5 linked regions of the Tribolium castaneum genome follow. The protein of the gene in region 3 interacts with the protein of the main gene of each other region in a biochemical or structural test. Links are inferred from orthologs where the notes say so. Each region holds a gene or a part of one and is shown on either strand. Other genes may lie near its edges. The genes, in order: Rpa2, RpS3, Cdk1, runt-related transcription factor 3 and CrebB.

Evidence for each region.
Region 1: of the proteins of Cdk1 (region 3) and Rpa2, one has a biochemical effect on the other in vitro, tested with the Homo sapiens proteins (2 studies listed by BioGRID). The link is inferred for Tribolium castaneum from reciprocal best matches to the Homo sapiens genes CDK1 and RPA2.
Region 2: of the proteins of Cdk1 (region 3) and RpS3, one has a biochemical effect on the other in vitro, tested with the Homo sapiens proteins (2 studies listed by BioGRID, with this or other methods). The link is inferred for Tribolium castaneum from reciprocal best matches to the Homo sapiens genes CDK1 and RPS3.
Region 4: of the proteins of Cdk1 (region 3) and runt-related transcription factor 3, one has a biochemical effect on the other in vitro, tested with the Homo sapiens proteins (2 studies listed by BioGRID). The link is inferred for Tribolium castaneum from reciprocal best matches to the Homo sapiens genes CDK1 and RUNX1.
Region 5: of the proteins of Cdk1 (region 3) and CrebB, one has a biochemical effect on the other in vitro, tested with the Homo sapiens proteins (2 studies listed by BioGRID). The link is inferred for Tribolium castaneum from reciprocal best matches to the Homo sapiens genes CDK1 and CREB1.

Annotation. Positions count from the first base shown.
Region 1 is NC_087399.1:4,631,191-4,634,781, forward strand, and holds Rpa2 (replication protein A2), read left to right. Parts: upstream 1-1,597; coding exon 1,598-1,684; intron 1,685-1,730; coding exon 1,731-1,829; intron 1,830-1,875; coding exon 1,876-1,989; intron 1,990-2,033; coding exon 2,034-2,413; intron 2,414-2,460; coding exon 2,461-2,545; 3' UTR 2,546-2,625; downstream 2,626-3,591. Other genes in the region: triokinase/FMN cyclase, read right to left, coding at 1-90, 392-1,069, 1,111-1,339; probable multidrug resistance-associated protein lethal(2)03659, read right to left, coding at 3,168-3,591. UniProt on the Homo sapiens protein: As part of the heterotrimeric replication protein A complex (RPA/RP-A), binds and stabilizes single-stranded DNA intermediates that form during DNA replication or upon DNA stress.
Region 2 is NC_087402.1:7,605,099-7,609,823, forward strand, and holds RpS3 (ribosomal protein S3), read left to right. Parts: upstream 1-2,106; 5' UTR 2,107-2,148; exon of another isoform or gene 2,149-2,222; intron 2,223-2,798; exon of another isoform or gene 2,799-2,851; 5' UTR 2,852-2,901; coding exon 2,902-2,931; intron 2,932-3,119; coding exon 3,120-3,486; intron 3,487-3,541; coding exon 3,542-3,699; intron 3,700-3,752; coding exon 3,753-3,923; 3' UTR 3,924-3,966; downstream 3,967-4,725. Other genes in the region: cathepsin O, read right to left, coding at 906-1,212, 1,262-1,764, 1,811-1,990. UniProt on the Homo sapiens protein: Component of the small ribosomal subunit. The ribosome is a large ribonucleoprotein complex responsible for the synthesis of proteins in the cell. Has endonuclease activity and plays a role in repair of damaged DNA.
Region 3 is NC_087401.1:17,534,542-17,538,615, forward strand, and holds Cdk1 (cyclin-dependent kinase 1), read right to left. Parts: upstream 1,951-4,074; 5' UTR 1,743-1,950; coding exon 1,069-1,742; intron 1,012-1,068; coding exon 765-1,011; 3' UTR 698-764; downstream 1-697. Other genes in the region: transmembrane protein 53, read left to right, coding at 1-60, 109-237, 286-447; CCT6 (T-complex protein 1 subunit zeta), read right to left, coding at 2,158-2,373, 2,424-2,575, 3,369-4,074. UniProt on the Homo sapiens protein: Plays a key role in the control of the eukaryotic cell cycle by modulating the centrosome cycle as well as mitotic onset; promotes G2-M transition via association with multiple interphase cyclins.
Region 4 is NC_087399.1:3,633,259-3,638,386, reverse strand, and holds the start of runt-related transcription factor 3, read left to right. Parts: upstream 1-1,950; 5' UTR 1,951-2,183; intron 2,184-5,128.
Region 5 is NC_087395.1:6,449,023-6,453,447, reverse strand, and holds part of CrebB (cyclic AMP-responsive element-binding protein 1), read left to right. Parts: intron 1-2,035; 5' UTR 2,036-2,054; coding exon 2,055-2,216; intron 2,217-2,222; exon of another isoform or gene 2,223-2,460; intron 2,461-2,514; exon of another isoform or gene 2,515-2,745; intron 2,746-4,425.

The sequences.
Region 1 (3,591 bases), on a different chromosome or scaffold from region 3:
TGATGTGCTGCTTACCATAGTGGGTCAGCAGGCCCGGAATCTCGTTCTGGGCGCTGATTTCGGGCAAAAATTGCGTGAAATGACGCCAACCTTAAAAAAACAGTGCTGTGCACTAACTTTTCGATGCTTTAAAGCAAAAAAAACGTGTTTTTATTTTTATTGTTTTAATTTTTTTTATTATTTTATTATTTTTTTTTATTAATTATTTTTAATTTTTGTTTTTAAATTAAAATGTTCCAACAAAAAAATTTTTCTTGAATCACACTCGCATACGCTCGTTGCATAACGACAGTCCTCGAACTTTAAGCTTGATTTTTCGCACTCGTATTGTTAATAACAATTGTTATTAATGCATTGTTTATATTTTTTGTAAAAAATATGTAAGACCTACCGGTGGCGCCGCATGGGGCGTCCAAGTAATCGATAATTTTCATGTCGTGCACCTTCATTACGGTCAGAAAGGCCGTTCCGGGGGCCACTGAAATGAAATTCCCGTAATAAATTCGCACAACACAAACGCCCAGTTCCTTCAGTCTTTCAATGACTTGTTTGACAAAACTCAACTCTACGTATCTCTCCATTGTTCTAGACGCGTTAATTAGAGCGACCGTCGGTATAGAGGGGTGAAGGCCTAAGAAAACTTGCGATTTTTTATCAATAATGTGTCTAAAGTTTGACTCAAAATCGGACAGAACTAAACTTTTGCGTTTTCGGGTGCCCGACCCATCGTGCGTGTAGTTCAAAGGAACGGTTATAATTTGATCAATTATTTGTTTATAACACTCGCAAACATCATTGTACAAGGCGCCGCTTTCCGCCAAGGCCCCCAGAATTTTAGCCAGGAGGATAAACCCGCACGAATATCGCTCCTTTTTAGCGCTCTTATCGTCATTAATTGGGAGTAGTTTAACTCGTGTCCGGCAGTCCGTGTTGGCCCGTTCGACCGCCAACCCAAAATTGAACAAATCAGCGTTTGCTTGCACTATCACACAAATCCCGCAATTGTCCCCTTCGTTCAGCTCCTTAATCGTGTGCAGAATTTGACGGGAGCTTGGCACCGTCTCCTCCCCTGCAAAACAGTAAGACAGGGCCAATAATTCGGTAAATTACCCAGAATGGCAGCCGTTAGCATCCCTTTGCCCACACAAACGGCGTGAATTAGGTCAGTCCCAGCGACACCGCCTGACAATAGTCGGACCTTTGACAAGTTCCTGTAATCCCTTTGGATCACGACATTGCCGTAGTCGAGCAAGACCACGTCGTGGTTGAGCGCAGTGAGCCCCAGAAGGGCGTCGCGCACCTTCACCGGCCCACTCCCCACATCAAGGGGGCTCTCCATTTAATTTTGAGATAACCTAAAATAACACAAAACAAACAGGAAAGTGGCGCCCTCTACATCAGTGGCCCCCGACTTGTGGGCCGGTTGTTTTGTAAAAAATATTTTTTTTTCGAAAATTTATTTTTGAATTTTGAACAATATGTAAAAATCCCTAGTTTTTGCCCGTGCAAATGGAAAGTCCCTACGAAGGTGTCAGGCAACTGTCAGAATTTCCCGCCACTCTTAACCGCAATTGTTGATTTTTATTAAAACGTGAAAATGTTTAGTGTTGATCAGTTTGATATCAGTAACAACGGCGGTTTCGTAAATGATGATAACCAAGGGTCCACTGCCAAGAAAAAACAGGTTTGTGGGGCGCTTTTTGTGCTTGTCTTTACTCCTCTGATTGCAGCAAGTGAGGCGCATGCAAAGTGTTGTCCCTTTGTTCATTTCGCATATCCTTGAGTGCACCGATGAGGAGTTCAATTTGTACGGGATGCCGGTCCATTTCGTAAGTTTTATCCCGTTTTTTTGTGTTTTTTGTATGAAAAATTCAGGCTGATGTCGTGGGGGTTTTGAAAGACTTTGAGGTCCAGACGACCAAAGCCACGTGCACCATTGAGGACCACAGTGCCTCCATTAAGGCCATTATGTGGCTGGAGACCGATAACGTAAGTAGATTTGTTCGTTTTCGTTTCGTTATTTTTGCCAGCAGGACACTGTGACGGCCCTTCCCCCCGTCAAGGAAAATTGCTACGTGCGTGTTTTCGGCTCAGTGCGCACCCAAGACGGTGAAAAAATGATCATGATTCTCAAAATCCTTCCAGTTGATGATTTAAACATCGTCACAAATCATCTCTTGGAGATTATTCAAGCTAAATTATACGCTGAAAGACTGGCCGATGGGAGGCTCCCAGCTGCTAATTTATCGACCACTGTGGCCACAACGTCCACGTCAGCTGCTGCAAATAATTCGTCGGGACTTAAGCCGATGCAAGTCAAAATTATCAATTTGTTGAAACCTATCAAAAGTAGGACTGGGTTGAGTAGGAGCGAAATTATGCAGCACTTTGGAGCACAAGCAAGGGAGGCTGAGTGCGTATTTATTTACAGGTGGGGTTTTGTTTGATGGTGTGTTCCAGAGTCGCTTTGGATTTCTTGCTGGATGAGGGGCATGTGTATACTACTGTTGACACCGATCATTACAAGGCCACAGATGCGGATTAAATTTGTTTCATTTTATTTTTTTGTACACCCTGGTTGCTTTACATTTTTCGTATACTTTAAATACATTTTCCTTTGCAAAAGCTCGTGTTTCTTTTACCTATTAATCCTCACACATCCTTATAAAGGTCTTAGAAAAGATTAAAACCACTAAAGTTGACTTTTTTTACGATGAGTTAAAAGTTGATGGATGAAAAAAATACCAACATGTGCGGTTGGGTTATTTTATGAACTCATTTTAGTTTCTGTACCTTTACGGACGATACAGAAACAAAAATAAAAGATAAATTAGAGAAATTTCTTTCAGTTGAGTTTAAAGTTCAGGCAACCAATTATACTCACATTGAGATAAATTGTTGCTAGGTGAAAAATAAAGAGTACGCGTGTTTTTTTTTTCATGTACAAGGTAGTGTGGATAAAACATTTTAGCGAAATCTTTAAGTATTCGTACCTTCTTTATTCCAAAAAATACACAATTACATCGTAGCCTTTGTTTAAGGAAAATTTAATAATGTAGGCACAATTTTTTTCGATTATTATTTGTGTAATAGAGCTAAAGTGTTTTTGTACTTTGTGGAAGCTACAAATAACATGTAAAATATTCATAGACGAGACTAATAAAAGTTTATTTCATTTCGAGATTTTGATTCTTATTCCCCTGCATAAAATACTGATAAAAATAGCTGTCAGTATCTTCCAGGAGTTGGTTTGGGCTTCCAAACTCCACCACAACTCCACCATCCATCACTAAAATCCTATCAGAATCCAGAACAGTATTTAACCTGTGTGCAATGGTCAATACTGTCGACTCTTGAAACTTCCGTCGAATGGCTAACTGAATCAGTTCGTCTGTTTTGAGATCGATATTAGCCGTAGCTTCGTCCAAAACCACAATTTTGTTCCTTCTCAACATTGCTCTAACCAGGCAAAGCAGTTGCTTCTGTCCAACACTAAAGTTCGAACCCCCTTCTGAAACCTCACTTTCCAAGTCCCGAATCACACTTTTCAATTCAACGTCCTCAAGGGCCGACCACAACTCAGCGTCGGTG
Region 2 (4,725 bases), on a different chromosome or scaffold from region 3:
CAACACTGTGAGCTGTTAAAATTCAAAATAGAGCCGCGTCGGCCAGATTTTTTTCAACACATCGATAATTTGGCGAAAAGTCAACATTTCTGGGTTTTGAGTTTTCAAACTCACTGTATTATTTTCCGTGTGTAAGGAAATTTTGCCTAGCAAACCACCACAAAAGTTAAATTTATTTTTGAAATGGATAATTATGATGTAGATTAACTCAATTACAGGGACAGGATTAAATCAAACAAAATGTTTCCGTTAAATTTATATTTAGAAAAATAATAACTACCCATTACCCACAGAGCAATTAAAAGAACAAAACTTTAAAAAGCCTAAAATAACACCTTTATATTTATGTTACTTCTAAAATTTAATGCAATGGCCACTCTTAACAAAAATCTTGAACACAGAGAGGCTTTTTTATGTAAGTATAGTGCACATGTCCCTGGTTAAAAACATTTTTTTTATTTCTTTCTCGAAAATCTTGACGCAATATCGGATTTCTTATTTAAGCTGCAGCAAAATTTGCTATAAAAATGTACCAGTATAAAATTAGGTATAGCAACAAAAAATTAGGTAACAAAAGAGAAATGGCTCTGTATTATTTAGACGACTTTAAACCACTGGAACTGGAATCCGTTATGAAATACGTACCTGCTTTTATAAAGGGAAGGACCATGAAGCTTATTTATAAAAAAAATGTCTGACGCAACAACAAACTGAAGATGTGTGAGTTTTTTTCACAAAAAAAGGAGTTAATTATTACAAGCTCATTGGTGGCGACCAGTATTTATTTTCAAGGACTATGGAAGAAAAAATACAATAATAAAAAAACATTTATTCTCACTTGGTGTATAAAACCTATACATTTTCTACATAAAATGGATACACTTAAACATCACTATCTAAATAAATCACAGTACTCTTAATGCTGAGACCTCGTTTGCGATCCCACACATATTTTTATCCACAGCTATGTACAAAAATCCCCCGTCCCCAAAGTCCACACCCCACGTATTCCTGACAATATAATGCGGAATACTTGCAGTCAAATCATACCCAACAATCTGGACAGCATGATTTAACTTTGACGGATCCCCATCACAGTGATACTCAATAACACCTCCAATGTAATTCTGCCAAGTTTGCGCATTAATCGCAACAGCCAGGGGTCCATTATCCGCCAAAAGCCTCAACATAACATCTTCAGACCCCACTAATCTGAAAGTTTCCATAAGAAAGAATAAACTTAAAAAATAACTAAACGAACCCTTCACACATGAAGTCTCTAACATGGACACCAGCCGAGCCCCGGCCACATTTACCCCCATAATCGGCGTGTCTTTGAATCGTGAAATTTGTGGCTTTGATCCAAGACAGTAAAGTGCAAATATCGCCCCCATTGCACCCTTTGTTGTTACCAGCGCAATCGATAATTTCTTGCACACTGAGCTCCTCAGACTTGTTGGTTTTGATGGCGTTCATGGACTCCACAGTTTCAATAACAGAGTAGGCCCAGCAGGCCCCACAACTGCCTTGGTTGTAAATTCTAGTCACTGCGTTTTTTTCTCTCCAATCTACTTTATTAGGCACTGTTGCTCGTTTATGGTGGTGTCGTTTTGGCTCATTTGAATGCGTCTTCTGACTCAGGTTTGATTGTAAATAGGTTTGGAAAAATTCCTCTGGTAACAAGTCCGAGAATTTCGTTAAACCGTACAGTGCTGAACCATTCCTTTTTTTGGAATTCAAAGTCTCGATTGTTTGTAGTGATTGCTGAAAAGCGACGTTATACAACAAGGACACAAATTATAAGTTTTACCTTAAATGCATGAAGACGGTTTTGATACACAGAAGGGTCATCGTATGTCTTGTTGAACCTTTTCAAGTACTCTTGAAATTGTGATTCGGCTTGGTCTGGGCCTTTTATTCTTATAGGGATAACGAAAAATAACAGAGCAATGTAGAAAATCGCTTGCAAGTAAGTGCTCCACGAAGCCATTCTTATCAAAACAGATATTTTGGTAACAATGATAATATTGAACTATTTGTCGCTATCGCCATGTTTATTAATTTGATTATCTTGAAACACAATCCTGGCCCAGTTAAGTGACTGAGTGGAACAGAAATTTATAATGAGGGTGAATGAGGTTTAAGCAGGTATTTTTTGATCCACATTGTATAAAATGTCACGACATAACCTCAACGTATGTTGTCAAACCACAAACATAAAAAATAGATGACAGAAATTAACAAAATTACCAAAAAAACTAGAGAATTTATTTATTTATTTTTGTTTTTAATTTATTTTTGCCTATGGTCTTACATTGTTTTACGCAACAGTTGCATAAATTATTCGGTCCAAGATCTTTCCCCAAGATAATATTTTACATTTGGCGCAACTTGTGTAGAATTACATTGCGTTTATTTTCTCAATTACGGCGAAAATATACGACAAAATTGAGATATTTTCAATTATTCGTATGCAAAATTGTCTGGAGAATTGATTGGCGTCGTAAATTCGTAATAGTTTTTCAAGTTATAAACCGAAATAGATTTTGGCTATTTTTGCATTTGTTAGCAATAATAATATTTTTGGAAACTACCAGTAGCAGGACAATGACCTTTTTTTAAACGATAGATGATTAAAAAGAGTTCTGAACACATAAAAGTTCATAAAAGTTGTTGGTTTGGTTGGAGCTACTCAGATAAAAAAAAAATAATTTTTTGAAGGTAAAAAAACTGAAAAAAGAACAGTCTTTTCATTACGTTATTTACCCGATATGCAAGAAAGTTTTCTCTCCAAAAATTATTCAAATAAGCCGCCTTGTAAGCGTCCTCTATCACATCCCTTCCCAATTAGGTCGACTTCCGCTCGCCACACGTCAAACCTTTTCCATTTAGAACGTCAAAATGGCGACTCCAATTTCGAAAAAACGCAAGGTAAATACCAGAAATTGGCCTTTCCATCCACTTAAACATGTTTAACTCTTCATTAGAGCCCAAAATCTTGTAAAATAAGCACACATGTTTGGGCTAACATTCATGTTTACTTGTTCCCCAAACCATAACCCAACATTTTCCCACATGTGGTCCCCAGTTCACCGACTTGATGTTGCGCTTATTTGTAGTTTGTTGGCGATGGCGTTTTCAAAGCCGAATTGAACGAGTTCTTGACTCGTGAATTATCAGAAGATGGGTACTCCGGGGTTGAGGTCCGAGTCACCCCAACTCGCACGGAAATCATCATCATGGCCACACGTACTGACCGTGTTTTGGGGGAGAAGAACCGTCGTATTCGTGAATTGACTTCAGTCGTACAGAAACGTTTCAATTTCCCCGAAAACTCAGTCGTTTTGTATGGCGAGAAGGTGGCCAACAGGGGTCTGTGTGCCATTGCACAAGCAGAGTCTCTTAGATTCAAATTGATCGGAGGTTTGGCCGTGCGCAGGGCTTGCTATGGTGTTTTGAGGTACATCATGGAATGTGGCGCTAAAGGTTTGGACATTTGGCTCAAAACGTATTTTGAATTAATTTAGTGGTTATTTTGCAGGGTGTGAAGTTGTAGTTTCTGGAAAACTGCGTGGCCAGAGAGCCAAATCGATGAAGTTTGTTGACGGTCTCATGATCCACTCTGGGGACCCATGCAATGATTATGTGGACACAGCCACCCGCCACGTCTTGCTAAGACAGGGTGTGCTGGGAATTAAAGTAAGTTTTTGTAAAATTATTGGTGTTTGTATGATGCTATTTTGTTGTATTAGGTCAAGATTATGTTGCCGTGGGACCCCAGCGGCAAAACAGGCCCCAAAAAGCCTCTGCCTGACAATGTCTCTGTTGTGGAACCTAAAGAGGAGATTTTGCCTGCCTACCCCAGCAGTGAAATCAAAGCAGTCAAACCTGACGCACCACCAGCTATTCCAGTAGTAGCTTAAAGTTATCATAAGATTAATTTTCAATAAAATTCTGGAAAGATAACTTTCGTTTTATTTTAATACCAAGAAAAATGCCCTTCCTGTTTCAACCTTATTCCTAATTTTGCCATTGGGAATGTTTTCTCCCTTCTAAAAAAAGAAATTCCTCTAAAGCAGTGAGTCATTAACTGCGACGTGTTTTATCGACATTTCAGAAAATTAGCTAAACTTTGGAGCTACGTAATTTCCAACTAAGTAAGATTTTACAAAATGACACGTAAACAAAAATTTTGGCGAAGCAACTAATTGTTGAGTGAAAAAGGCAAAAGCAGCGTAGATAATTTCCGTTTCTTTTTGAACAAAATATGGTTTAAAAATGTGCTAAAGTAAGCATTTAAAAGACATCGTGATTCTGTCCGTTTTTAAAGGAATTTCGCAAAATAAGAGAGCTTAAAGCAATTTTTAATTTTCGGCCTGTTTACTAAATGTTTATCTCTGAACTGGATCATAGTTCGTAATAACAATAACAAAAATAAAAAATGGGAATAATGAAGAATAATGGGAATAATGAAGAGTATTTCAATAAAACGCCCTTTTTTAAATATTTTTTTATTGTGAAATTACAAACTTTTGCTTATTAACATAACAACATGACATGGAGAAAATTTAATTCGAATGAGTTTTACAACAGAAACCTCCATGAGCACAATGCATTTATAACGATATAACAAAACTACTTTACACCATCCATACTAAAAATTAATAAAAAATCATTCCTGGGTTAAAAGTATATAAAAAGTAACGGACGAAATTTTGCAACCAT
Region 3 (4,074 bases):
TACAATATTCCCGCTTCAGTCCTCATGACTATGTTTTTGTCTATGATTTGGTTATACGAGGTGCGTTCGCACCAAAAACTTTAAATATTCCTTGATTTATTATTGTAGGTTGTTAGCAATTACATCAGTCCGAAAAAAACGTTCCAATCGAACCCGTTAGAAAACTTGAAAGATGATAAAAACAACTGTCCCCAACATTTTATCTACTCGAAAAAAGACATTCTTATTCCTTATACGGTAACCATCTTAACTATTGTAGCCAATCATCTTTTTTTTTTTTTCAAGGATATTGAATATTTCGCCAACTATCGAAAATCTCTGGGTATCGATGTAACAACTCTCTGTTACGAAACAAGTCCTCATGTTAAACACTACACCGAAAATAAAGAAAGTTACGTGAGTAGCGTATGCAATTTTTTAAATAAATGCCTAAATGGCACAAATTAATTCACACAAAAAACATTTCAACGCTTAATTAAACTTTAGGGTACAATTTATTTTTCTAGACGTTGTTGAATTGCACAAAATGTATTTATTTCAATTGTTTCATTAAAACTATGTTCCCAAATGATCTGCTTTATGTTGCGCCACTGTCCCGCATTTCCTTTCACTGTTACCATAGCTACATTGACGCATCACCATAGCAATATACACGTGCAGCTCGTGCATGATGTATTAAGGAGGTTTTCAAACACAAAAGATTTTTTAAACAAATATATTTAGAAAATAGTCATACTAAACACGATAAACCTAAACCTAACCGCTTATTTAAGGATCGGCTTTATTGACGTATCAACCTTTTGCAAATACGGATGTAAAGCGATTTTTTTGGCCGAAATCCTCTTGGCCGGGTCATAAATCAGCATTTGTTTCAACAAATCTATAGCGTCGCTAGTCATATTTTTTACCTGACTTTCCAAAGTACATGATTTCCAATTAGGGAACGTAACCTTATATTCAGGTAATGTGGACACCCCTGGCCAGATTTCGTCGCTTGGTGTTTTCAAAACCCTGAATCGAAAAAAAATGCAAGTTGTTTTCGTTTCTATAGTTACATGATTTGATTACCGAAAAATGCGGAAAAGTTGGTCGATTTCGGAGTCGCCTTGGAAAAGGGCTTTTTTGTTGGCCATTTCGGCGAAAATGCAGCCCAGAGACCAAATATCAATAGGGCACGAGTAACGTGCAGAGCCGAGGAGCACCTCGGGGGCGCGGTACCACAAAGTGACAACTTCGTGCGTGTAAACGCGAACCGGGACCCCAAAGGCGCGCCCTAGTCCAAAATCGGCCACTTTGATAGCCCCTTCGGAGTTGATGAGCAGATTTTGGGGCTTAAGGTCGCGATGAAGGACTCGTCTTTGGTGGCAGAAGAGAATGGCTTCGTTGATTTGGTAGAGGTAGCTTTTGACGAGTTGGGGGTCCATGTAGGAGCCCTGTGGGATGGTGTCGAGGTACTTCTTTAAGTCCATTGACAAAAATTCAAAAATTAGGTAAAGACGATTCTCTTCCATCATCACGTCTTCCAGGGAGACTATATTGGGGTGTGTGAGCTCCTTCAGGAGGGAGATTTCGCGAATGGCTGTGGAAGGCACACCTTCGTCTTCGGGTTGCAGTCGGATTTTTTTCATTGCGACTAGCTGACCCGTCTTCTTGTTTTTGCCCTTGTACACCACACCGTAAGTGCCTTCACCAATTTTTTCGATCTTGAGGAAGTCATCCATGTTGGCCCCCTGTTTCGACATTGCCCCAATATAACCAAACTTTCCACTTAAAATGACGTTTATAACGTCAAATTGCAATGCCTACACGACCACAAACACGATATTTTATTCAAAGCACACGAGTTTTGTTAATTTTTACACACTTTTAACGGCTCGTTTGAAGAAATATGGAGAAAGTTCGTTGGAGATTTTTGAACCAACCAATCGGGTACAATTATCCCCGTCTCTATCGCACTCACGTCAATCACAATAACCTGTCTTTTTTTTGGCGTAAATAGACACACATTACCAACTTCAGACACACAAAATTACTATACGATCGCCAAATAATAGCTTTGGCCAAAAAATGGGTGTTAAAATCCTTTATTATTGTTGTATAATAATTACAAAATCAAGCATTAATACGTGAATAAAATTACTGACAAAAAAAATCCATTTAACCTTTCAAACTGCTCATTCCGGCTCTCATTATTTCATCAACCAACAATAAATTGCTTGCAATCACCGAACACGAATTAATTATTTGTTTCTTCACGATGTAATTATCGAAAATTCCGGCATCTTTCGGATTAATCGGTTGTCCTGAAGCTAAATCAAGCCCAATTGGTTCCTTATTGTTACGAGATTCTTCTTGAAGTTTTACAATAGTATCCTAAGAACAACAAATAACTATAAAACAATCAATGAGAAAATCACACAAACCTGAGCATCGAAACCAGAATTCGTTGCCAAAACTTTGGGAATTACAAGAAGGGCTTCCGCGTAAGCACCAATTCCAAGACGCGATTTTCCTTTAACGGTGTCCTTGTAAGCCATCAATTCTTTGTGGGCGGTCACCTCAAAAGCCCCTGCGCCTGAAAAATATCACAAAAAACTGTTTTGTGTGCAAAATCAATTTGAATTAAGCGCTATGACATTTAGTGATTTTATTGGTACGGTTGGTAGCGAAACAATTGGCGGTGCATCAAATTTCGTGATGGCCGCTTACCGCTTAGTAAATTCGGGAAAAATCGCTGTTAAATCGGTTATTTCGTGCAAATGTTTGTGCAAAAGTGTTCAAAGACTTTCAGTGTTCCGATGTGTTGATCTAAACGGCGATTTTCAACATTGACAAGTAAGTACCGAAGTTGGGTTTTTGGTGATGGGAGTAGTTGAAGCAACTCGTAAATTCAATTTTTGAGCTCTATTTTAAACGGAAAACGCATTGTGAGTCTAATAAATTAACAATTGTGTGGCCAGGTCAGGTCATTGACCCCTATTTACAATTTCAAAGCCTAGTAACGCACATTTTTAAGACGCGTCACAAAATGACTGTGACGTCATCCATTAAGCAACTAGATATTTTGTTAATTTCGGGAAATGAGTGAGTTTCTGACTGAAAAATAATGCGCTGGAACCTTAAAAAAAGTTCAAAAATAATATAATGCTGGGCTTAATTTTGTAGTTTTGTGCAAATATGCTTGAAAAACGGCCTAAATTTAACGATAGTTTAGATTTTTTACAATTCTTGACTACAAAATTTAAAAAATACACAAATTTGGTGATTTTTTGGGAGATTTATGATGAAATTCAGCAAAAATTCCCATGTAGAAACTCATAAAAAGGATAATTTAATTTTTTTTTAATTCAGTTTTGTCTTTTTATTACCTGGAATCAAGGCTTTGTCCTCTATGGCATTATTGATGGCCCTTAATCCATCCCTCACAGCATCCTTGATTTGAGTGAGAGTGTGTTTATTGGGCCCTTTAATAAGAATGGTGACCGACTGTGGTATTTTGCATTCCTCAACGAAAGTATATTTATTTTCGCCCAAAACATGTTCATAGACAACTCCAGCATAACCCAATTGCGATTCTTGCATATCATCGAAATGATTTAAAGCGATTCCACCACAAGCCAAAGCCAATCTTTCCATGTTGCGTCTTTTGGCTCGTCTTAAGGCCATTATACCTTCCTTGGCCAAAAGATCAAGACTCATTGGATCAATCCCTTTCTGATTAATAACAACAAAACTCTTATCAGTGCCATCGCAAAGTTTTTTCTTCAAAGCAATGACTTTTTTCACCCTCTGTTCAATAAATTCACGCTCAGCTTGAACCATCTTCTCGCGTTCTTCTGCCGTTTTGTAGAAAAAACCCGAATTGACTTCACTTTTCTCATATTCCATTGAGACGTTACACGTGAGAATGTAGCAATTTTTCAACCTTTTGGGCATATCTGGATGCCTGGAGCCGTGATCAAGCACCAGACCCTTAATCAAGGTGGTGTCAGTTTCGGTTTTATGTTGCATTTCCATCAACTCGACCATGTGCAAGTCTACCGGCTTGTCCTTACTTTTGATGGCCAACACAGC
Region 4 (5,128 bases), on a different chromosome or scaffold from region 3:
TTCTAGATTTTACTTGTAGGTATTTTATATAAATTTATATAACTTTGTTATTATAATTTTATTATTAATTTTATGAAAAATAGAAGAAAAGAAGAAAACAGGTCAATAGAAAAAAATACGACACTGAAGTTAAATACTGTTTCTACTTCAGTGTGGTAAACTTTTAGTAACAATTGTGGGTGTTTTAATTTTAATATAATATAATCAGAAGTAATTTTTTTTACCGAAATTATTTAAATTAGGCATTTCTGTTTTTCTGTTAATTTTAGCTTATAAATGACTGTTAGTTTTAATAAATAAGGAACCAGAGATGATTGATGTAAAATATGACTGTGTGATACCAATAAAGAGTTATATCTCAAAAGTAAAACCATTGTTTTTTTTTCGTACTTTCCTTACATTAAAAAAATAAAACAGTGCCATTTCAGTTTTCTATTTTTTAATTATAATAGTTTTATGTTCAATGACGATTAAAAAATTTCAATTTTGAAATAGTTTCTTTTAGAATGGTTTATGGTAAAATTGCAACAGCGTATTTAAATTTTGAAAAATTAAGCAAAAATTGAGTTTCTCTAAAAGAAAAAAATTCTGTGTTAAATTAAATTCTAGCGACACTTTTTGGGCTAAGAAAACTCACCAGAAACTCTCAATTTATGCTCCATTTTACTCCAAAAAATTAAATGCTTTGTTGCAAAATTCTACTATGAACTGTAATGAGATATATATTATTATTTTATTTTAAAAACTGATAACTACACAAAAATCAGCGACAATGTAATGAATGATTTATGAAATCCCAGCCATTTCTATCGGAGGCGAGATTTTCACAAATTTATTTTAAGATTTTTACGAACTAACTGTCGACAATTTCTAGTTAAAACAAGAGCAACTTTGTAGTCAAGAGCTTTTATTTTTTAACTTTTATTATTATTGATCGGAATTATTAAGTAAACCACTTTTTTTAGTTTTTGGCATTTTTTCTGAATTAAATAAGGTACTAACTTTTCCATTTACAGCCTGACTAGAAAAATGTATCATATAAATAATTTTCAAAAATGTCTGCAAAGTACAAAAAAACATACTCTGGAAATATGATATTTTAAAAACGTAACACAAAAAAATTACAAATTACAAAATGTTTTAATAAAAAAAAACTTAATGGAGATCCTTTTTTATTGACAATTTTAAATTTCCTAATCAATAATATCCTACTAATAATTAATTATTTTTGGGAAAAATAGTTTTGTGTTTTCAATAAGTATAGTTATAGATAATAGCGTCTAGACTTTGTATCAAATTAAACATGCCATAGCTTGTTACAAGTTAAAAATCTTTGGACAGGTAGCTGGTTTAAGTAGTTTTTAACTTTGGTTTGGTTAATTATTTAAACAAGTATGACAATCTATAAAATGATTTAGTTGTACTGATGATGAAAAAATTTTCTTTGGTCAAATTTCTGCGCTCAGCATAATTATAAATAGTTCTCTCAAACTGTCAGCATTGCACGCATTCCGTCTAATTCTGGCCATAATGAGGTTTTCGGTCGCCTAATTAGCTCACGCATTGTCTTCCCTTGATCACCTAATTAATATATCCCTCCCCTTATGCGTGAACTTTCGTAAAAAATCCGAAACCCGTTAATTACCTCCGGTAATTTGCATGTAGAGATGCTTTCGCCCTGTCGTTATCAGTTGAAAAAAGACGCTCGCCGTCGGAGCAAGACGCCGAGGACGCCGACAAGGAGCGTCTCAGGCCATTACCGTGCACCAGAGCAAGGTGGCACCACCAAAAAAGCGTCTACGTGATTCTTTCAAGACGCCAGAAGAGGACCACGGCATGCCGGCTGCCCGCGTTGGAGAGGGACACCGGCGGCAAAAAACCGAAAAGACGTTTAGAAGTTGCGCGCGCTTGAGTTCTACCCCTTGGTAAACCTCTAAGAAACGACGCTGGTTTGAGGGTAAAAATCCGGCGTCTTTCCTGGTTGGCGGCGGCGACAGCGGTGGCGGTCTACCTCAACACGCCCCGCCTACTTCACCCCTCGACCACCCACACAACGACCCCGCGTCTTTACTTTTACACTCTTTCTTAATGTCAGAATAACTCGCGACGCGAAAAGAACGAACGCGCGCGCGGTTGCCGAGTGACCGACCTGTGGCTTAAAACCGACTTTTCACACACACGCAGTAAGTAATGGCTTGAGTAATTAGAGGCGGCACGCACGGGGCTGCCGAAGGGCCGATGCTGTGTTATTATTTTTCGGGGCTGGGGCGCGCTCGGCAGTCGGATCACGTTCTGGTCCAGTTTGCCAGCGAGGGGCAGATCAGCTGATTTCTGATTCATCTTTGAGGCACCCTCCGTTGTTTTTTATTGAAGCGACGAATCACTTTGTGCTTTACGGCTTAGGGGAGATGTCGCCGATAGGGAATGTTTCAAATGATGTTTTAGTTTTTGTGGATTTTTGCGCAGTACTCGAACATGAAACAATATTGCACGATTAATGAGTTATTTGGTGCGTACAAATTTGTAACTGCCCACAGTTTTATAAATATAAACTGATTTGATATGCAACTTGCGTAATTGAAATCAAACTATCATACATTTCGAAAATTGATAATCAGATGAAAACATTTCGTTTTTAATTAGGTCGCTTATTTGGAATTTCGATTTGTTTTTGTTTAAAGCTTATAATATAGTTTCAGGAACAATTGGTAATAATTGGAAATAAAAGTTACTAGTTTAAACAGTAACATAAGAGTTGCAAGAAGGGGGTGTTTATTTCTAGACCTAAACCATCGAGTGTGTGTAAGGCTTCTTGAGGTATCAGTCTCGCCCTACTTGTACAACTAATTGGTTTACTTGTTAATTTGTTGTTGGTTTAATTTTTATAAAAAAATATTTTTGCGCTGAAAAATAATTATGGCTTTATTACATTTTATTAGTCCTTTTCCTATTATTAAACGTTTTTTGTGCATTATTTGAGGTAGAAAAAACTTTAATTGTTTCTAGTAAATGTGCAGTTTCCATTGACATTACCTCGCGTCGGAAAATTTCAAAATCATTGTAATTTTTTTTTTGTAATTTGCGTAAAAATAGTTAAAATGTATTTTGAACTAACTGTTTTAAAAGAATTAAAACTTACATTAATTGTATATAGGATATATATGAACTAAAGAAACTTACAAAAGATGCTTCCAGTGCTTTTCTAGAATTCACAAAAACTTCTGCTATGATAGTTGCATTATTAACATTAAATAAAAAAAATAAAAAAAACACGTTATTTTTCTATGACTCGATGTATGTGAATTTTTTCAGAATTTTTCTACAATTACTTAAATTAATTGTTACCTAGAAAACAAATAAAAAATAAAATATTTATTCCCTAACTTCGAAAATGTGAAATTTTAATGACTAAATAACACGAAAATTAGATATTGAATATTGAATAAGACGACTAAAGTTTCTTTTATATAATACTTGATCAAGCTGCTAATGTTCTTCATATATACTTAGGCAATAAAGTCTAGATCATTTAATTAAATAGAAAAGTATTTTTGTTCGTAATTTTTAACACCGCTACTGAATTCAATTTTTTTTGAAATTATTTTGACGTATAACTCTACAAAATTTTTGATTTATTGTTAACTGGAAGAGTACGTAATTTGTATTCTTTAAAATTTAAATTTAGAAGTATTGCCAAAAGACAGCAGTATTTCTGGATCAGCTGTTTAGATAAGCGTGTCAAAGTAAAATTTTTAATTGGATTTTTCAGAAAAATAATAAATAGAATTGTTGTCATTACTTATTATTCACGGCCAAATAAGTTCGTATCTAGTTTTAAATATTTTTAACCGAGTGTTAAAGGCTTAAACAACTTAGAAATTTTAATGTTTTTTTGAAGAAACCTAAGTGTGAGATTTTGTGCTTCCAACGAATTAGAATTGTCGCGTAATCAAGCTTATTTTTAACAATATAAAAAAAATTAAAAATACCAAGCTGTTTGAAATAAAAATCTTAATCGTTTGGCTGGCGAGTTTTTCATTTTGAGGCTTTGGTGTTTTTATACGTGTTTTGGTCTGAGAACGTAGTCATAATTTATTAGGCATTAGATTTTTTTTTAATTTTTAATGGTCATTTTGTAAATATTATTTCTAACATACATTCAGTTTTGAAACGACGTTGATATTTTTTTCATTTTTTTTTACATTGGAAACGCCATAAAATGAATGTGTTTAACCAAGTCTTAAACCATGTAGGTAAAAAAATATTTACGTGTAGGCCCTTCCAATTAATTTTTTATATGTTTTTGTACGAAATAATAAAGCTTCTTGTAAGCATGATTTAGTTTAAAACAAATTTTACTTTTAGACAGATTTCAATTTTTTTTATTTTTTCTTTTTTTTTTCACCTTCTATTTTGTTTGTTGATTATTTAAATGTTTTAAATAAATGGGTTTTACTTAAAATAATTTTAATTATTCAAAATGTTGTTGGCTTAGGTTAGTTTAGGTGTGGGTGCAAGTTTTTTAAATTTCAAAATATTACTATACAGAGTGACCCAGAGGTGTGTAACCGGTCTATAACTTTTTTGTTATTTGAGAAATATTACTATGCTGTTTTTATTTTTCGATCGATTGACTTAAAGTACACAAACAAAAAGTATTTTTATTACACCCAGGGTGTTGTATACACGGTGGTGAACTAAAGTTATACTTTTTAAATAGAACATTCCATATATTTTTGCATAATTAGATTCTACACAAAAAAATAATGTAACTTTTTATAAATTTTTATGGGTATATGTTTTTTCGTTTCGTATTCAACTTTTGGTTATAAAAAAAAACAATTTTTGAAAAATCACTGCGAAGTCGTCTTTGAATATTTTAGAAAAAAAAAATAGAAAAATTTACAATACCTTGCAGTGTTAACAAATAGATGATTTTTAGTTAAAGCACGCTGCTAATATACAGAGTGTGCCAAAACTCAAAAAGTTGATTAACTCATTTTTTTCAACTAGAACACCATGTATTTTTTTATGTATTGATAGCATTTTTGATAAGCTTTCTAACGATATGAGGTTTGCATAGGAAATTTAAAATATTTTTCGAGGTTTTTTAAAAAATTATTTTATT
Region 5 (4,425 bases), on a different chromosome or scaffold from region 3:
AACGCAATCGTGTATTAATTTTGAAATTTTGAACGTTGGCTGATCTGGGCAGCTAGAAATCTGTAGCTGAAAATAAGTATTATTCTAGTATTATTATTATTGGTTGTATCTAAAAACATTACAAATAATCCATGAGTGATTTACCCTGTATGTGTCTTTAACGTATATTTTTTTAATTGTTAACATTTAAAGGTCAATAGTTGAGTAGTTATTCTACATACTTTTCCTTACTGTCCCACGTGAAATCGTCTCTAAATTTGGATATGCAACCCATAAATTAAGCGGTTTTTAAAAACACAAATAGTATTTCTCTACAAATGATGCAGGAATTTTTCCCAAAGACTAGGTTAAAAAGAAATTAACGTTTTGATAATAATTAATTATAATAACTAGACTTACTTCGTCGCAAATATTTGGTATTTATGACTTCGATAAGCTCCAATTAAAATTTCAAAAGCAAAAGCAAAAGATGCGGATTAATATAATTATTCTTGCTTTTGCAAATTGGAATAAGAAAGTTCATTCAGTATCGTTTTGTTTAAATTTAATTAAATGCTTGACATTTTGAGCTGTATAATTCTTTTCTCAGCGGATTATACAATTTTGCCATAATTTATTTCTTAGATCTACTTAACCCAAGACTAAGCAAGAGTTAATTATGATACGAGGGCAGTTCATAAGTTATTGTCACTGATGTAGAAGTATTTTTTTACTTTTTTGAGTTAGTCCTATAAAAATGTTTGATTGGAAGTGTTAGAAACAATAATATTTTAACATCCCTCGTAGCAGAATCACATACGTTATTATACAGAGATGTCCGCTTTCATAACTAGAAGTCGACATTTTGACCCTGGTAGCAAAAGTTGCCACACCCTATAGATTAATTTGAAAAAAAAACGGGAATTTGACGTCAAATGAAGGATATGACTGGTTTTTCCCCGACTCAAATTCTCCGAAATTTACAATTGATCGACAGACTAAAAAATGAGGAAAGGTCTTCAAAATACGTACGTCTTACGTTTAAGAAAAAATCAGGGTATTTATTCCTTATTTAGTTCAGTGACACAACTAGATTAATGCTATTCATTTCTAATCATGTTTATGTAAAAATTATAACTTTTTAAGATAACAAATGACGTAATTGAATAGTATTGCACATTATTTAGGAGAGGATACTTTTATGTTTTCTAGTTTTTAGTCGATAATAATTATTGCATATTTTTTGTTCTCAAATAATCATGCGAATAATTAAGGAGGCAACGCACCTAATTAAATTGTAAATAACTTCTTCATCCATAGTGAAATTGACTAATATGTTATTGGGTAACCCTCTTTTTTAAATGCAAAACCTTTACGTACTGTATTCAATTATCCGGATTATTTTAATATTTCATGAGTGTTTCACAATTTTGCGAAGACTTTTTTCGAAATTTGTATTTGGGTTTGTACCAGATACTGTATTGTCGATTGCATTCCTAAAATTATGTGAAGCATGCAGTACATACTTCCAGAACAAATATTATTTAATGTTTTATGTATAATGCCTACAAACCAAACATTTCAGTTATTTCTAATCTTATGATAAAAAAAGGACACTCCTTTATAAATGTGTAGGTTCCTGGCATGTAGAAATTTAATGTTATGCAAAATAAGACAAGAAAAAAATGTTTTCAACCATGAAAAAACTCCAGTAAAACGTATTGCTTGATCGCACGTACTGCCGGTTCATTTATTGTTAAAATAAACAGCTCGATTGTTGATTGTTTAAAGTGCTGTTCGTTATCATTATGACCTGTTTTGGTATTAAACAGGTTATAATAATTAAAAAAGTCAATATTTGTAAGCAGGGTGGTAATTTTTAAAATAGGTTGTTACGTCACGCGACTATCACACGGTTGTTTGTCCGAAAAGAACAAGTTCTGTGTTGGTTTCAATAATGACGTCACAAATTTATTAATAAATGTAATCGCGTTCGCTTCTCGCTGATGGTGTTTTTGTTGCGATTTTGACCAAGTGTGTTTGTTGTTGTTTGCAGGTGCTTTTGTACTTAGGCAATGGAAGGGATAGTGGAAGAGAATGGAGCAGTTGATCCACTGGCCCCATCGCCGGACCCGCAATCACCCATCGCCTCGGTAGGGGTCTCAAACTCACAGTCCCATCTGATGACAGCTACTAACATTGTCCAACTAACTTTGCCTACTCAAACCCAAGCACAGGTAGGGGTTTTCCTGCCCCTCCGTGCATGATCCTGGTCGTCTACCATTTTTCGTTTGAGCTAGACCGAAAATTTTTGCATCAGACACTCCATACTCTTGTGGATGAATTTTTGCAACATTAAAAAATTAAAAACTAAAAATTAAAACTAAATCTAAAAAAAATACTATTAATTTCGGTGCATATGACAAATGCCTATTTGGCGAAAGAAATGGGCAAGTCAAAAAGGAAGAATTAAAAGTGAAAGTAATAAAATTAAATTGAAATAAGTAGGAACCCAATAAAAAAATTTGTATTTAGGTATACAACCCTTATTTATTTTTTGCTATCTTTTTGTCTGAGTATTGAGGATAACATCCGCATTTCTGATAATCATTTGTCCATGCCTACATGAATCTACAAGTTCCGGAAGTAATCAGGATCATCAATTGTTCACAAAAATATTCTAATCATAAAAATAATATTGATTTTTACTAGCCCTAACCATTAAATATGTTCGGACAAATTATGCTAATAAACATATAAAAACCATTAGTGTAGTTAGTTCTGTAATTCTATAAGTACAACCGCAGTTAATATGTTCGGTACAAAAGACAATTTACAATCGAGAAGTAAAGGTTGGTAACAAATAATAATGTTCGGACAGAATGGGTTTTTGATATTATTATTAATGGTTCATGGAAGAAAATTGCTTATTTTCACTTAAAGAAGTTGTTACATCTTGAGTAAAACTTGCACTTTTTTATTTCAATTGAGCAAAAAAATTGAGTCTTGTATGAAAATAAGTTGTGGACATGCAAATAACCTTAAGGGGGAGAATTCCTGTCTTTCCAGGATGAGTGTCTTGCCGTCAATATTTTATGTACTTTACGTCAACTGCCCAGGAGAGGGTCCATCAGTAATTATTTAATTAATAATATATTTTTCCGCCCGGGTTGAAGGACACACGTTTTTTTAAACTAATTCTTTAAGCATAATTTTCTGCTGACTTCGAATCCGAAGTTTTGTTTGCAACTGCGTTCTGTGGAAATTGTTGAAAAATTTACCTTTGAAATCGTAATCTTGTCCAATTTTCTCAGTTTCCTTTTCTTAAAATTAAAACTTGTGTATTTGCATTAAAAATTACATTCTTTATGCAATCTTTTGCAAAAAAAGACGTTTCTAGCTTTATACAGAAAAAAGATATAACGAAATAAATGAAAAATCTGACCAATTTTAAATTTTTCAAAATTTCTACAAAAACGTCTTTTTCAGTATAAAGGCAATTCCAAATCGAGTCCGCTTTTGAGGTATGTGCCACTGAATTGAGGTGAGCACACAATAGAAGGAACTATCGCTGATATCATAGGCCAGTACCGCAAGTTCATTTTAAGAGTTTTACGAGTTAACGATTGACAATTTCAAGTTAAAACAAAAGCCACATTATTCCTAAGAGTCCACTTCAGAGCTAAAAGTATTTCATTTTCTCTTTAATACTTAATGTTAAATGGAAGAAATGTTCAAAGAACGCCATTTCTTTTTCATTTTTCAGGATTTATTTTTTTTTAAATAAACAAAGCACTGATTGCATTTTAAAAAACTTCTCCCCTACAACCTGAGGAGAAGAATGTAGCCTGTAAATAACTTTCAAAAACGTTACTTAAAATGGCTGTAAAACACCGAGGAAAATGGCTGAAATTCAACGCTTTTTAGCGTGGGTATCCCCCTTAAAATAATAAAATTATCATGAAACAATAGAGGTGTCCTAAATCTTTTGGCGATAGACCATTAAAAACTTAAAGTATACTAGTTATTAACTAACCATTTAATTTTTTTATCCTCAAAGTGATTTTATTTTTCAACAAAATTGGGCAATATGTAACCGCGAGAACTAGGTAAAATGGTTTGGTGGACATATTTTAACTGTTCTAAATAGTCCGAACCTAAATATCGAAATGAAAAGCCATCTGAGAACTCACTCAAAAAGTGCAACAGTTCACGATTTAAAAAATTAAATTAAAAAATATGCGCCGGTTTTACCTTTGCATTTTGTTGGAACCTAGTAAAACTATCCCGGTCACTATTCGAGCAATCGTAAGAGCAAAAGGGGACTTAATTGAATATTAAACTTGTAAAACAGTTATTTGTCCAAACATTTAGTTAGCAAGCTTTTCTGTTTAATTATATGTTTTTGTTTATTAGTTATTGTACTCTTCATTACACAGAGGCATG